2 linked regions of the Astyanax mexicanus genome follow. The protein of the gene in region 1 binds, or shares a complex with, the protein of each later gene. Links are inferred from orthologs where the notes say so. Each region holds a gene or a part of one and is shown on either strand. Other genes may lie near its edges.

What was found. Proteins that work in one complex are often made in the same cells at the same time.
Region 2: the proteins of gnao1a (region 1) and chrm2a are in contact, whole or in part, in a cryo-EM structure (PDB 7T8X), measured with the Homo sapiens proteins. The link is inferred for Astyanax mexicanus from reciprocal best matches to the Homo sapiens genes GNAO1 and CHRM2. Residues at the interface, in NP_066268.1 of Homo sapiens: Lys24, Ile28, Ala31, Lys32, Leu195, Tyr320, Asp337, Ala338, Thr340, Asp341, Ile343, Ala345, Asn347, Leu348, Gly350, Cys351, Gly352, Leu353, Tyr354; in NP_000730.1 of Homo sapiens: Asn58, Arg121, Cys124, Val125, Pro128, Leu129, Thr130, Pro132, Val133, Lys134, Thr136, Ile209, Ser213, Lys214, Ser215, Arg216, Ile217, Arg381, Lys384, Val385, Thr388, Ile389, Cys443.

The regions. Positions count from the first base shown.
Region 1 is NC_064416.1:26,264,262-26,272,587, reverse strand, and holds the start of gnao1a (guanine nucleotide binding protein (G protein), alpha activating activity polypeptide O, a), read right to left. Parts: upstream 3,342-8,326; 5' UTR 2,823-3,341; coding exon 2,705-2,822; intron 2,422-2,704; coding exon 2,379-2,421; intron 1-2,378. UniProt on the Homo sapiens protein: Guanine nucleotide-binding proteins (G proteins) function as transducers downstream of G protein-coupled receptors (GPCRs) in numerous signaling cascades.
Region 2 is NC_064409.1:45,373,456-45,381,719, forward strand, and holds the start of chrm2a (muscarinic acetylcholine receptor M2a), read left to right. Parts: upstream 1-4,976; 5' UTR 4,977-5,300; intron 5,301-8,264. UniProt on the Homo sapiens protein: The muscarinic acetylcholine receptor mediates various cellular responses, including inhibition of adenylate cyclase, breakdown of phosphoinositides and modulation of potassium channels through the action of G proteins.

The DNA of each region.
Region 1 (8,326 bases):
TTGACAGATAAGACAATTTAGAACTAAACAGACAGACAGATAGATGGGGCAAGATACATAGACGGACAGAGAAGCAGACAGGCAGACAGCCTGACAGACAGGTAGACAAACAGCGCGCCGGAAGGAAAATCCACTCCGTGCTTTTCTCGAACCGCTCCAATTCCGGAAAGTGCCGAGCGGAGCCGATCAGAGCCGAGCGTTGGCCTCTGCTGGGCGCTGTCCACCACCGACAGCGCCTGAAATCCTCACACTCAGTAAAGCGGCATAAAGCACAGGAGCAGCATCACACAACACACCCGAATCACAAACACACACACCAAACACCTAACACACATACACACACAGGGGGGAGCGCTGAAACACGGGTATAAAACGCCCCCGTTTGTCGCGGTCTAGAGGGATTCAGATCCGAGTGGAAAATGGTAGGTTTATCTTAACACTCGAGACTCGGGGCAGAGCGCTAAGCCGAGCCGCTATATCCGCACAATCACAGCACCCTAAACATCTACCAGCCAGACATCTGAACACAACGATACACTGCCGCGATCTGACCGTCCACCTTCCAGCTCACTGCGCTACACAGGATTTATAATGTGCACTGGACACGCCACGGTAATGCAGCAGCAGCACAGCATTAACAGGCCCGTATATGACAGAGAAAAAGAGCACGACTGGACGGCTCTTCTGTATATATAAAGAGCTGGGGGCTAGTGCACTGTACACGCACAAAACGCGATCTGTGCGGGGCTCAGTTTGGGTGTGATAGCTGCGTGAAAAATAAAAATGGCCGAGTGAACACCAAGTTAGGGTGTTAGCTAGCTACCATCCCCCTCCCACCTCCACCGCCCCCCAGCCTTGCCACCACCTCCCCACCCCCATTTCTCTCTGTGTGTGCATGATTCGCTCAAATCATAGCTAACGCTACATAACCCACAACCCACAATCACTAGAAGGCCTGCTGCTGTACGGTTCACCTTGAATATGGAAGCCAATCATAGCAACTATACATAGATAACGTTACACAGAATTATGATGAGGATCTTGTCAATTACATACCACAGTGAGTTCTGCTCCAATTAAACTAACGTTAAATGAGAGCAAAACTGTAATAATGCAATGTACAGTCAGAAAGGGCTTTAGGCTGTTGAATACACAAGCTAATGCATCAAAAATAGTAGTTAACCTAGCTAGGATAAATCTCAGCAATAGACTAGCTAGCAAGCTAACTAGCTAAGAAGCCTCTCTGTGTGATATCAGGCTACAGAACGAGGCACACGCACACACACCTACCCACCCTGTCTTTTACACAAAACGCAAAAAGCTTAAACATGACGAGAAAGGCATGGCCATATAGCTAATTAGCTAGCTAAAATGTACATCATTTAAATGAACTTCTAGCTAGTAAGCTAACTAGCTAGGTCAGCTAGGTTAGGTTAGCTAACCTAGCTAACCTATCTAGCTACCCACCCTGTATTTTACATAAAACGCAAAAAGCTTGAAAAGGAACAGAAAGACATGGCCATATAGCTAACCTAGTCAGCTAAAGTGTACAAATACTAGCTCCTAGCTAGTAGAATAGTTTAGCTAACCTAGCTAAGCTAGCGTTTGTACAGCAGAATGGTGTGGCCCCGAGATAATAATGTACAGGCTGCAGTAGTTACATAGTTAGCTAAAGGGATGGACAATTATTTAATATCAACATACATATAAAGAAAATGTGTCAATAATGGTGGTATGATGATTTTAAATAACTAGATTAGCTAGCTACATGTCTAGCATTTTAATATATAGGGTTAAGCTATCGTTGGATAATTTACTGCATCTGTCACTGACGTTCATTAACTACAGAAATAGGCAAATCCATTTTTCATGAGTTCACAGGTTCCATAGCTAGCTAACGTTACGTTTTATGTATTTGTTTTCTGTGGCTTTTAACTGCTTGTATAGACTGAAATGTTGTCACTCATTGAGACCAAAGACAAAAATTTGGCCATATCGCCCAACCCTAACTCTGTTGGTTACAGTGAGTGAGAGCGGCTCGGCTTCAGCACCATGTTATACCGAACAGCACGACCGACCGCAGCCAGGCAGGCGTTTCCTCCCCCCAAACCGAGCCGAGCAGGCGCGTCGATCGGTTAGCTAACTAGCTAGTTAACCTAGTACATACAGTGAATGTGTGACATTCTTCATAATATGGCGGACCTTAGCTAGCTAACCTAGGCAAGCTACTAAAAAATGTTTGCGTGCATGTAGGCTAGCTAACTAGCTTTTTTTTGCGTGACTGTGTGTGTATATGCTTGTGTGTGCGCGCGCATGCTCGCGTCCAAGACACACACACTTTAAAAACCGAGAAATCTGATTTACACCATGGCACTTACTTCATTTGTTTCACGATGGTGCTTTTACCAGACTCCCCAGCTCCTGTAAGACACAAGAGACAGGAGGGAATCAGGACTGTAGTTATATGGTAATATTATAAAAAAAAAAAAACATGAAATCAGGATAAATCCTAAAATTATAAACGTGTAGCCGCATATAGAGAACGATATGTAACTTAGCTAGGTGAGGTTAATTATGTTAACGTCAGATTGATCTCTGAGCAAAGACTAAAGATTAGAGACTAGGTCCACTCCCTCCCACCCTCCCACCCATCCATCCACCCAGTAAAGAGGGAGAAAAGAGAAGGTGCGTTAACCAGCCTTACCCAGCAGCAGCAGTTTGACATCCTTGGCCGCAGTGATTCCATCCTCTTTCAGGTTTTTCTCGATGGCTTTGCTCCTATCCAGAGCCGCTCTCTCTTCGGCGCTCAGTGTACATCCCATGACTAGGCGGACCGCAGGCTCTTTCTTTCAGCTCCGAAACCGGCGAGAAGCGACGTGCGAGGGGGGGAAGCGAGCGAGCACTCCGTGGTTTATTTTTTATTTCACCTCGAGATTTCTTCCCTATCTATCTCCTCTACCTTTCTCTCCTAGCGCTCTCTCTCTCTCTCTTTCTCTCTCTTTCTCTCCCTCTTTCTCTCTCTCTCACTCACACTCTCTCTTTCACTCGCTCACTCACAACGACGGCTCTAGCTATAGCATTAAAAGAAGCAGAAAAATCCCGCAAAACGACACGAAGACACGCAGCCTGGTGGAGATAACCTAACCTAGCTGTATAAGGAGCTGCTTCTGCTGCTGCTGTAGGTGAACCGGCTCGGCTCTCCGTCTCTCTTGGTCGTGTCGGTGGTTCCTCGGGCGGAGGGGGAGCGGTGGAGGGGAGGGGGTCTATCTATCTAGCTCTATCTGTCCTTTTCTACTGGGCGGCGGCGGCAGCAGCGGCGGTAGTGGCGGTGGAGGCGGAGGCGAAGACGGCGACGGCTGCTAGCATCGTTTAGCTCTGCTCACAATGGAGGGTCAGCGAGGAGAGAGAGAGAGCGCGCGAGCGAGAGAGCGAGCGGGAGCGCGCGCGCCGAGCACGTTAGTTACGTGTTTTTTTTTTGTTTTTTTTTTAACCTCCCCTTGCTTTTTCCCGCCCGTTTTCCGACAAGCCCCGCCTCCCCCGTGCTGTGATTGGACAGCGGTTTAAGCGTCGGGATTGGCTGGTCTTTCTTTCACACTAATATGTATAGCTGAGCCAGGCTTTGACATTTGCTTGTCAGAGCAGACAGCCAATCGTATAGCTCAGAAAACCGAGAAGAATAACCAATCAGAAAAAGGCAAAGGATAGAGCGAGAAAAATGAAAAACGAAAACAGGTGGGAAACGAAAAAACCGTATCCTCCACAGTGACGTCAGAACTGAAGAGCGAGCGCGAGCAGCATCCCCGTTCGTTAAATAAACGCTAAGCTAAAAATCCTGCACCAAGGTTTTCTTCTGTACAAAGATACAGAAGAAGAAAAAATTAGCCCCTCAAGCCCCACAGATTCGCAGTAAGGAGCATTGTGTTCACTAGCTGGTCACTAAATCAACGCGTTTGACCGATTTAGAGCGAAAGAGCGACTGAGAGGAAGAGAGGAATCACGACAAGGTGTGGCCAACAGCAGAGCTAATGCTAATGACCTGCAAAATCAACACACGAAACAAACAAATAAATAAATAAATCCGAGCAAAAGCGTCAAATTCAACAGCTGGCCATCTTGCCTTCGTCACATCCTCCCTCCACTCTCATGTGAGGCAGCGTTTAAATGTCAGCATGCTTTCTGAAATACAGACACTTCAGCTGTGGTGGTGAAAGTGAAACAGCTTATAGTAATAAAAGAACGAATATGTATGTATTATTTTACAGGACTCAGACACACAGTTTGCAGACAATTAGGTGAAGTTAGTTTAAAGGACCAATATGTAGTATTTGTATTTTCACCACTAACCCAATAAATTATATCTGTGGCATCACATGTTAAGGAAAAAATCCTTAAAGTTAAATCACTGGCCTATCTTTACAGCAGTGCTTTAGCTTGGTTCGATAATCTATTCTTTGCTGAATTGTCCAAGATAAAATTGAAATCTGTTTCTTTTTCTGATGCAGATATTATCTTATGTACAAGTGTTTACTCCTGTGGCTTTAAAACCCACAGACTTCTTTTCCATTTCAGCTGAAGCACCAAAACAACACAGTCTGTCTGTAGCTTTGCAGTACTGTTTTAAAAAATATCTGAATTTGTGTGGACAGGCCTTGTCTGTGGGGACTATTACTTGTACAAAGTCCTGCATATATTTGTCCAATATTTTAATTAAATCAAATTTAAAGTATTTCACACGTTTCACATCCACAATCTTGTTAAAACTCAGGCAAAACAGTGTCTCAGGCAAACATAGATTTTTTAGAGGTACACTTAAAATAGAGGGATGTAAAATCGACTGTAACCACTATATTAACCATCATTGCTTAATGTGTAGTTTGAGTGTTGTATGGGCATTTTCTTTATAACATTCATAAACTATTGCTAATAGTTTGTCTCATTTGCTATCTAGCTAAATTTTCTTTTTCAACATAAATGGTGCAACAGATGACAGGGGCTACAGCATTTAAGATGGAAATAGGGAAAGAAAAGCAAATAAAAACTAATTACAGGGGAAGGGGAGGAGTTACACTTAGAAACAGGGGCTAGGGGTACATATTAGAAATTGGATTGGGCCACAGTGTGCTGCTGCCTCTATGCAAGTAAAAATTGGCATAACGTTGGAAACTTTGGACACTTTAAGGGTTTACATTAGCAAATAAACTTACACAGTACAACTGATTTTGTTTGTTAATCGGGTGCATCTAAAAAAAATTATATAATCAAAAACTTAAACAAATTCAACAATTTAGAGCAGCACTTCATGCTTTCCTCCAATGACAAGCTTTATAGAGATGCAGCTTTCATTTCCCAACAGGACAAGAAAAGCTCAAATACCTCCAGGTCAGTTCCAACACCAAAGCTATTTTAATAAATGTTCACAATTGACAAAAAAAATCTGGGGTCAAATATAGTCCATAAATATAGCACTCTGCTAACTAGTAAACGCTTGCCCCTTAAATATCAGTCCCAAACACAAAATTGATCCTGACTCTCAGCACTACAGTAAGGTCTGTAAAGCCCCCAACAGTTTGACTGGCTCACAACAGCTTCAATTTGGTAGATTCTTCTACAGGTGACTCTACCTGCCCTTTAAACCTGTAGCCCCGCCTCTTCTCTAATTAGACCATACCAATGTTACAGGTAGGGGTAACTGTAAAGTATACACACATACATACATACACACACACACACACATATTAATGTCAGCATTATTTACAGCTGTACATACTTTAAGACATGTCTCTGAATGGTAAGCATTATCACATATTTTTTGTACCTTTAACTCTAACTTAAATCTTTTCATTCCCACAGGTGTTCCAGAAAGGAGTTCCCTCCCATCCTGTAGTAAATCCGGACCCCCGAAGAATCTTCAAGAACCGGAGCTAAATGGCCGCCATTTCCTTAGGAATCCCCAAGGATAACCAGATGCACCTGTAGCAAGGTTCTTACACCACAATCTGGGGAGGAGGCGGTGGGACAGACAGCTCCCTCCAATAAATTAAAATCAGCCTAAGGTACTTTTTTTTTTTTTTTTTTTTTTTTTTTTTTTAGCATTTTGCATGCTTGCTGTAGTTAAGTACATATTGTTCATTTAAATGTCAGCCTGCTTTTTGGAATCAAGCCAGTTCTGCAGTGTAGAAAGTGAAACATCTAAAAACATATCTGCAATGAATGTTTCACATGACCCAGTTACACAGTTTGCAGATAATGAGTGAAAGAAAGGTTAAAATAAACATTTGACACCCTGATTCAGAGCAAAAGCTGAATGCAGTTCAGAAGAATAGGAAACTTTGGTTAATCACCTCACATTACGCTGAACGTTTCACATTGTACTGGCCCTGACACCCACATTAAACACCTGACTGCTAACTGCTGACTGCTTATTAAGTTTTCAGGGCCTTTCTGGAGCGAGGTATTCCGTTTTTGCAAGACACTGCAATAAAAGTGATGAAATTACTAAAACGAAGATCATTATTTTTCTGTCGTTTGCAAACCTTGCTAAAAACATCAAAATGACTGATTGGTGAGGTTATTCGGTCCAGACAATGACAAACATTTGAATGCAATTAATAAAATGGATCCATATGAGTTGTCTCTGTGATCCAGCCTGGCTTCCTATGAATAAGAATAAACAGTACATCAGTGTTTTCCATTTCTGGACTTTAATAGATATTTAATAGAGCAGGATTTTTCTTTGTTTAGCCAGATAACTTAAGTTCAAAGTTAAGCCCAATAAGTTTGTACCCAGAATCTGCACAGCAGAGACCAAAGACGGTTCTAGACTCACCTCCTTAATTGTTAGATCCCCACACTTCTCACAGAACAGGTGTTCTAGGGCCAATTCCATTTTGCCCCTTCTCTCTACCAATTAGCCCAAAAAAATGCAAATACCTCACTTCAGTTCTTTGTCACCAAGAGCTTTAAAAAAGAGTGGATGAGAAAGAATAATTCTTCAGCATTCAGCTTCACCTCTCAAAATGTGTACAGGTTTGGGTGTTCTCAAATCGTCCCCTTAAGTATCACTTCATGATTAATGTACTTTATATACTGCTATCCCAATATTCTTTATATGCTTTTGGAATGTCAGGCATATACTTTTTATTTTAGACCAAAACAAGTATGTCAGCCAGTCAAGTATGTTACCACTCAAGACTTTTAATCTTCACTTTATATAAAAGTGAGGAATAAAGTGGTGGCCCAATCATTGGGAGATTTTGAGTACAGTCTCCTCTAAGTGTGATCAGCATTCCAATTACAATGTGTTAGCCATAGTTTGAGAATATGAACATTAATAGGCTGACTTCACGTGCCTTAGAGGAGGTGATGATAGCATCATGATAGAATCATGTGATCAGGAAAGTCCATGCTGGTGTAAAAACCTGACGATGATGAAATCTGGGGGAAAATCCGGGAGAAATCTCTTTACTCTGACTGAAAGTAGACAATGCAAAGGCATCCTGCACTGTACAAAACCATAGGCTTAAAAGTATGAATCTTATATTCACAGTAAAACCGCCAAAATAGGTTGTATGTCTTTGTGCTCATTTCTTTATGGCAATGAATAAATATATACTGTATGTTAAAAGCAGTATATTATGGGTCCAGATTGAGGCCTCAGTTAAATGGCGTTAAAATTAGCAGTTTTTTGAAAGAGGTGCATATTTGCCCTTTCCACAGAAATGCAGTAACAGTCTAAATTTATTTTAAAATAAAAGAAAATTATAGTATAACCTGCTGAGGCCTTTTAATTCCTTTATTTATTTCCCCTTCAAACACAGGAAGTGGTACATAATTTTTGTTTAAAGCTGACTGGTGGAAACCCCCAATTCTTTTTTAAAAAATCATGTGTTAGGCTACATGCTGAGCATGTTTACATACACTGAGGACAACTGCTTAGATGCTTAACAGATTTGGATACATAAAACTCTAAATTAGGCCAAAGGTTTGGAAGCAAACCTAGTCAGAGTGGAGAGGAGAGGGGAGTGTGTATATGTGTGTGTGAGATGATTGAATTTAGCAGTGGATCTCCACCCACGCTCCATTACAAAGCAGTCAGCCTGAGCTTGTACTTTGACAGATAATGCCCATCAGCATGCATCTAAACTGTGTACAGCACTTACACAAACACACACACACACAGTCCTGTGCATATTTAAATATTCCTCAAATTTCATAGCCTTCATATCCATCTGAAGTGCAGCTAAATAGGGAGACTACAGCCTGCAGCGTGCATTGTTTTTTAGACTGAAGTGAGTCTGACCGTGTTGAGCGAAGTCTTGAAGAAGTG
Region 2 (8,264 bases), on another chromosome or scaffold:
GCTTCAATTGATCTAAAATTAAACTTACTTTAAAAAAAAGCAAATGCTTACAACAACTTATGCATGACAGGAAATACCTTCTTCTTCTTCCTCTTCTCATCCTCCCCAGCAACCAATCATCTGCGTGTTTGTGTGGGATTCTCCTCTAGGGTGATATAGGGAGCAGAGTAAGGAGGCACTAGGCAGGTGTGCTGTGACAGGCTGTGTGTATGTTAAAGGAGGTTCATTTCTGTAGGGAGTACGGATGTGGCGTATACGCGTCTGTGTGCGCTGGGCAGTGTGATTTATGAGCTTCCATTAATAGAACCCAGTGTGTTTTGCCCATTAGATGCTAATTGAGAAACACTCAAGCCCACAGTCTGCAATTGTGCTGCAATATACGCAAAAAATACCCCACTGTTCTCCCTGCATCTCATTACATGCGTCCGCATGTGCAATTACATGTGTTTTTGTAAAGAAGCGTATAACTGTAGTACTGTATGTGCAGAGATATCGTACGCCTGTTCTCCCTCCCACTTCCATTATATCACTGTCTAATACACAACTCCCTCCACCCCCCCTTTTCCTTACTCTCGTCTCTTGTTCTCTCAGAGTAGAGTGTGGCCTTGCTTTATATTCGCGCCTCACTTAACAGACAATGCAGCATATGTAAATAGGGGCAAACAATGAGTGGACAGAAACAATGCGAGTTTTCGCTCCTCTCAGTGTAATTAGCTCCCCGGCCGTATTGTGGGGCTGCAGCTGCTCTATATATCTGCATTTCACACTAATTTAGCCTGTTTGGCCGGCCTGAGCATGACAGCATCCAGCCCTAATGCATGTGTGTACGTCCAGAACCCAGAGCTGCATTGCTGCTCACACAGCCGTTAATTGACAGCAGCGATTTACGCTCCTCCTCCGGAGCCCAGCTCCAATTTGAGCACGAGACTATGAGACACCGCCTACCAATAATGACACCAAACCAGCCAGTGACATACAGTGATGTGAAAAAAAGTTTTTGCCCCCCAAATGCTTTTGTTTGTTTTCTGCATGTTTTTCACGCTTAAATGCTTTAGACCACCGAACTAATGTAAATATTAGTCAAAGACAACACTTTATTTTACATAACACAAATTAGCTTATTAATGTCTTATCATTTGCTTAATAAAGCCTTAATTAGACATTTGTAAATGATTTATGAATGAATGAATGAAGTTCAACTTATATAGTGCCTTTCTAGAAACCCAAGAACACACCGGTGAGAAGCGGCAGCCAATAGCGCACAGCGTACTCTCAACCGGAAACCATCCACCGTCCACCTGGAGGACTGCATCGGGCACTACAGCATTGAGCCAGGACAGAGTGCCAATTTATATCTGGGCACAGTCATTGTGATGTGGCAAGGTAGCCCATTACCATTTATTAAATGTACTTATGTAATGTACCTCAGTCCTGCTGTGTAGAGGGTCTGAGGGGCAAAAGGGAAGAAAAGGGGACCGGTGCTTCTTCTTCTGGTAGGACGGATCCACCTGCAGGAAGGGAGAGGTTGCGGACATTCTTGTTTGCCTGTAAAAGGAAAATAATTAATTAATGTTTGTGTAAAAAAAAATAGTGATCACTTACCTGTTTAGTCATCATCTGTGAAAATGTTAAATAGCGCTATTTGTGTAATTGTTTTTGTTCGTTTTATGTTTTACGTTTAATGGGTAGCCTCCCCTTAAGGGCTTTGTTGGTATGATCGGGGTGGGGCTTAATGTGAAAATGCCGGCTGGGGTGCTCGGTTCTAAGAAAACTCTCCCGGGGTACGAAAGCTCTGTCTGGTGTCATTATACTGCGTCTGCTAGCCACTTAAGGAGGATTGGCCTTGCGGCTTCCCTCATGTAAATATTTGTGTATATACTTACCGTTTTCTTTCGTTTGTATCAGTTTTTGTTTGTGTTTTTGGTGTAAAGAATTAATAAATCACCGTGCACTTGGAAATCTGACTCTTATCTCCTGTTCCACAGCACACTCGGGGTTCTGGTCATTTGCTTCACGTAAATCCCCAAAAAAAACTTTTAAGTGGGCGAACATCTTTACAGTCATACATACATTTACACACACACACAAACTTACATACATACCACACACTTTACACATACACACCAGATCAATTTAGAGTATTCAATTTACCAGATCAAATTAGAGTATTCTATTTTTCTGGGCAATTTAGAATATCCAATTTACATGATCTCCATGGTTTTGGACTATAAGAGGAAACTGGAGTCCCCGGAGGAAGCCCACACAGACACAGGAAGAACATGGGAACTCCACCCAGATAGGGATTTGAACCCAGGACCACAGTGCTGGGAGGCGAACGTGCTAACCACTAAGCCACCCTGCCGCCACTGCTTATTAGGCTTTATTCTGTGTAAGTGTTAAAAACAGCTGAATAAATATTTAATCAATCAATCAATCCCCTTCACTACCTACACAGTAGTCCTATATGCACAACCCAGGACTACATACTGTACATGCAGACCATGGTGACGGGTTTTTATCGCGTATTTTCTGTGGTAACCTTTATCTTCCAGAAGAATAGCTTTGCTAACTGAGACTTATTTCTGGGTGCAACTATTTTAGAGCCTGACGGATTCCTATATAGTCCAAAATCACACCTTGTCTCCTCAGGAATTAATTAATCACAAATTCCTTAACACACCAGCACAATCTATACATGGTTAGAAAGAGGAGAACATACAGTTTCTAGAAATAGTAGCATCATCGCCATTTCATGAAGAGTCTGTGAGAAATCCTTTGTGAAACACCCAGAAAATAGACATTCCTTCAAAGTACAGGGACTATCCCTTCAAAGTTTGAAATAATGATGAATATGGTGGAGGTTCAAATATGTGTTTGAGTTGTTTTTTTCTACCTCTGGCATTGAAGATTGCCAAGGGATTTTGGGTAACTATGGATTGTAGGGCCCAGTGTCAGGAAGCTGAGTTTGCATCCTTGCTCATGGGTCTTCCATCAGGACAATGACCCAACAAATAGGCACTCCTTTAAATTCAGGACTATTCCTTCAAAGTTCAGGGACTGTCTCTTCAAGTTAAATCTCATTTTAATCGTATATAACAGTGATTCAGGGCATATCTTTACAAAGCAGAACCCACCATTTCTGAAAGTAGTGTGTTCTTATCTGATAAAGCATCTGTAAGAAATCCATTGTGAAAAATGTTTAAAAACAGGTGCTCCTCTTGATCAAAACATGGTAAAATTCACACAGGTATTTAAATTCTGTAGATATTTACATCTTAACAATTAAATATATATTTGAGTAGTCAATATCAGTGCAAACTGTCAACATGTGAATAAAATAAGGCATGAAAAGTCTAGGATCTCCTGAAAATAACAATTGCTGACTCTATAGTGTTGCTTTTGTAAACATTACTTAATATAAGATATGAGAAAGAAGTGCCAATTTTTTCCAATAATCAACAAAGATAAGAAGAAAATAGCAACAGTTTTCACAGACAGCTAGAAAAATATATGGTAAATACAACAACTACAACTTCTGCGTAGAGACCCAACCAATTAGTTAACTGCATGTAATGATGCAACATCAAGCCTCCATAAGTTTCAAATGAAAAAAAAAGCAGATTTTGTTGCTATGGAAAAAAAGATTGACTTTCTCACCCTCTCACCCTTATATTCACGGCCTCAATGTTAAAACTGCTTTAGCGTCCTTTAGCGTCAAAATTCTGCTGCTTACATGGCTGTAATTTGTAACTTGCCTTTTATTTGATTTATTTTGTAGTGAATAAAACAACAACTCAAAAACAGCAGCTGTAATAGACAAAAAACACTTGTCACAAACAGATCAGTTTTGGCGGTATGGTTTTCTCTTAAGAGTGCTTAAGGGTTCTCCAGATAATCATTGCTTTCTCATCTCCTGAATTAATTTAAACGGCAGAAAATAACAATATCTGAAATGTTTGACTGTCTTCTATAAATAGTTCATAATAGTTAAAATAAAAGAGAGGGTAACATTCAAAATATATATTTTTTACGCTGGGGCCCAAACGGTTTTAATGATGTGTGTGAAAATACATACACATAGAGAGCGAGAGACAGAGAGAGAGAGAGAGGGAGAGAGAGAGAGAGAGAGAGAGAGAGAGAGAGAGAGAGAGAGAGAGAAAGAATCGAGGATCTCCCCCAGTAGATGTCAGTAGAACGCTCGGTCCACCAGATCACCAGTCTGAAAATCTCAAAACCGCATTCGGCTCTACAAGTACTCTGTTCACACTATGGTAATAAAAATAGCTTAATCGCGATTCAAGATGTTTAAATAGACCTCTGTGGAGTTTTGGGTTGATTGAGAACTGGTTTAACTGGTTTGTGTTTGATTACAGAGTTGATGTTGGTGCGCTGTTCAGTTTTGGTGGTGCTGAATGAATGTTTTTTTTACTCTTTCTTGTTTCCAGCGGTTAAACAAACCTATCAGCATGCGCGCCGCGTTTCGTTCTTTCGTTTTCGCGACATGCTGAGCCGAAATCATTTTAATCCCGCTGCCAGTCCCGCAGCTCTGGATGATGATAGTGGTGATGGTGATGATGATGCTTCACTATTGATTCGCTGCTTGAGCGCCTGTGCGCGCGCTGTCCGCGGTGCTGAAACCCATGTAACAGTTATTTAAAAAGGGGCAGCAGCGGCACAGGGCCGAACAGCGGCAGCTGCTTCTTCAGGTTGCACGAGCTGCTCCGGGGTTGGTACTGGAAGCTACAGGGGTGTGCGGCTCGCTGTTATGAGATAAGCACTTCAAACGTGCGTCCAACAGGAGCCGCAGGGAGCGCTTTCCAGCCTGTTGCCGCTCCCTCAGGGCTGAAGGTCGAGGCTCTTCAGATTATTAGATGTGAAGATGTGATTTAGAGCAGGTGATTGCGCCTCGGTGCTGGAAGAAAAAAAAATCTTTGGCAGGGGCTTTGCTTGCTCTCTCGTGAGCCTGAGTGTTCCCCTCCTTTACCCTCCCCTTTTTTCTCCTCTCCACCTCCTCCTCTCTCTCTTTCTCTCACTCACTCCGTATGCGCGCGTGTCTTTCTCTCTCTCACACCCTATTTCCACCCGCGAGCGCACCGGCGCATCAGATGCGCTCAGCCTTTTCCGCCGCGCAGCCGCTCGAGCAACATGTCCTCAGACGTGCAGCTGCGTGACCGCGCGGAGCCACCGACCAGCGGCCACAACCACGCCGAGAAAGCCGCGGAGCGCACGAGGAGCCACAGAGTCTGAAAGAGAGAGAGAGAGAGAGAAAAATAAAGAAGAGAAAGAGAACAAGAGAGCACGTAGGTCCCTATTCATTTTCTGTGCACTTTTGCGCTTGTTCATTATGTGTTGTACGTTTTTTTTATTATGTGCATACTTTTTATTCTATTGCGTTGCTAAAAGATCTGTATCAAAAACAAAAGTGAAGTGTGAAAAGAAGTGCAAGAGTTAAAGATAAAATACTTAAGCGATAAAAAAAGACTCATTCCTTTCTTTCTATTTTTTTGTCGATCATATCATGGTGCTGATTACGACGAAGATATGTATAGCAAGAATCTACGTTTTCTCAAAAAATAGACAGAAAAAAAACAAAAAAAACAAGGGAATTACAACACGCGCATTTAAAGAGAGCTGCAAGCCTTCATAACTTTGGTAGATGTTCTGTGTAGAGACCCAAGCAACGTTTATTGCATGTAATGATGCAACATCAAGTTTCCATATGCTCATTTTTGTTTTCGCGAATTGCACAGAAAGCGGACTTTGGATGATTGGATAAACAGTTTAATCGTTCACCGTCCTTGTTCAAAAGTGCGTTGGGCAACTAGTGTGATATGATCTTATCTTCTTATAGTGCATTTACCAGTGTATAGCCGCCGCTTTCTGTTGTTTTAATGCACTCTATATATCTCTATGTATGTGGTGAGAACCTTTAAGAGTCCGGTGCGCACGGAACTGCATGCGTCCAAAAAACGGACCAAGCGAAAGGCATGAAGGTTAAACCCTTAAAAGCTGTCGCACACTTTTGTGCACTTTAGTACAACAAATTCTGCTGTTCACGTGGCTGTATTTGTAGGTTGTTTTTTTAATCGAGTCCTTTTGTGGAATTTTGTGGAATAAAACAACAACAACCCAAAACATCAGCTGTATTAGTGAAAAATACAGAATTTTTTTTAAAGCTGTGTCGTTTTGGTTGTATGGTTATCTCACACTTAAGCTTAATACAGCAAGATTGCTTTAAGCTATTTAAGGGTTTAATAATGCTCCTCCAGTCAATCATCGCGTTCTCATCTCCTGAGTTAATTTAAACGGTAGAAAGCTGCTCCCCCGCTGCCCTATCTCACTTAACCTTGTGCGCCGCGCTCTGGAGCAACGCGTTTTTAATGTGCACTATACGAAGCGCTCGCAGCTCACAGATAGAGCCTCGTTATTTAAGCAGATGAGGCTCACCGCTCTCCATTCTGCCTGCAAGTTACAAACGTGGAGCAAAAAAGTCTCCCGCAGACAATAAAAAGGTGCCCTTGGAAGCGCATCTGGAGGAGATAGATATTCATGATGCTTTGTATATTTTTGCATGAATGTGAGTGACCTCCAGAGAGTGTTGATCAGTAGTGCATTGTCAAATTCATATTGACTGAGAGATTTCAGCTTCATGTTTCTGAAGGTTCTGCTTTGGTGAAGGTTTATTGTGGAGCTCCAGGACCTTCTCACTGAAGTGTCTCAAACACTTGTTCAGTTAGCATGACGGCTGAGAAAGATGAGCTGAGATTGACTGGGACAAATTTATGGTTCAGTGTTAAGTGTTTTGTGTGTTTTAAGATTTGAGGGAAACGTGGGAAATAATATAAGTGCATAACAAAATAAAATGACTGATCAGAAAGTGTGTTGTGTGTTTGAGGATTTGAGGATATGTCTTATTAGCCCTATTTTGGCGGGAAACGTGGATATTGAAGGCAAAGAAAGACTGAGAAATGTAGAGTTCAGTGTTTTGTGTTTTTTTTATGACTATGTATTATCAATTTGCCTAATTTTGGCAAGAAAAGTGGATTAATACAAGTGGAAAATACAGAGGCTACGTAAGTGTACATGTAGGTGCTTGGTGAGGATGTATTTATCTCCTTGCGGGAACTTGTGTCTCTAGAATGGTGGAAAAAAGAGAACTCATTGGACTAATGTTCTTGAAGCTCAATAAATGCAATTTGCGGCCATATATATATATTTTGTTTGTATAATTATTATTTAAACTTAATAGTTTTTTGGAGCAAAGATGTTTGATGTACGAGGTTTGAGTTAGATAGACTAATGATAATGGTAGACTTATGGTAAAGCAGAGCAAAGACAGGAAAACAAACAAGGCTCCCGCGCGCGCGTGTATTTGGGCGTGTGTTTGTGTGTGTCTGTCCTGAACGTGCGCGCGCACATCAGCGTTCCAAAGAACAGCAAACAACATCACCTGGAGCTGCGTGAGCGTTTAGACGCAGATCGATTCTCCCGCAGTGTAAATGAGATATGAGCGCGTGCACGCGCGCGCTATGGGAGTCGTGACCCCGACCTCACCGGGGCTGTTCTGGCTGGCCCATATCCCACAGCGACCACCACGCGCCTCATTACGGTCAGTGGGAGGCAGGGTCAGCCTGTCAGCTCCTGGAGCTCGCGCCGCTAAATCGACTGACGCTGAGACGCCGAGTCCAGTCCGATCTGTCGATTTCGCCTCCTGGACTCTGTCTGAACACAAGTCCACTGCGAGGAACTGCCTGTGCTCCAGAGTGCTGCTCCTGCTTTTAGTACGTGTTGAGGACATACTTTGCCCCTACAGTGGAATGACCAACTTATGACTCATGATATTGATCATTTCACCAGAAAATAAGCGTTTTTAATTTCTGTAATCATCACTTCTGTATTTTGGATTCATATAACATATTATTTGTATATAATAGTGATTATTATTGCAAATGGTTACGACATACAACATGTATGTCTATTTTTCACTTCTTCTTAACTTAAGTAGAAGATGATGCTATCAAGGATGATGAATTGATCAATAGAAATGCTTCAAAAATGCACAAATAAGCTCTCTATAATCTCTCTATATCATACTCAGAATATTCTAAAGATTTTACCCCATAGGAGACACTGTATATAAGGTTTCAGCTTGGCATTGCTTATACACTGTATGTAAACTCAAGCCCTGATATTTTCCGAAAACAAGTATCTGTGTGTGAGGAGAGAGAGACTGATCAGGAAAGAAAGAGAGCAAGAGAAAGAGC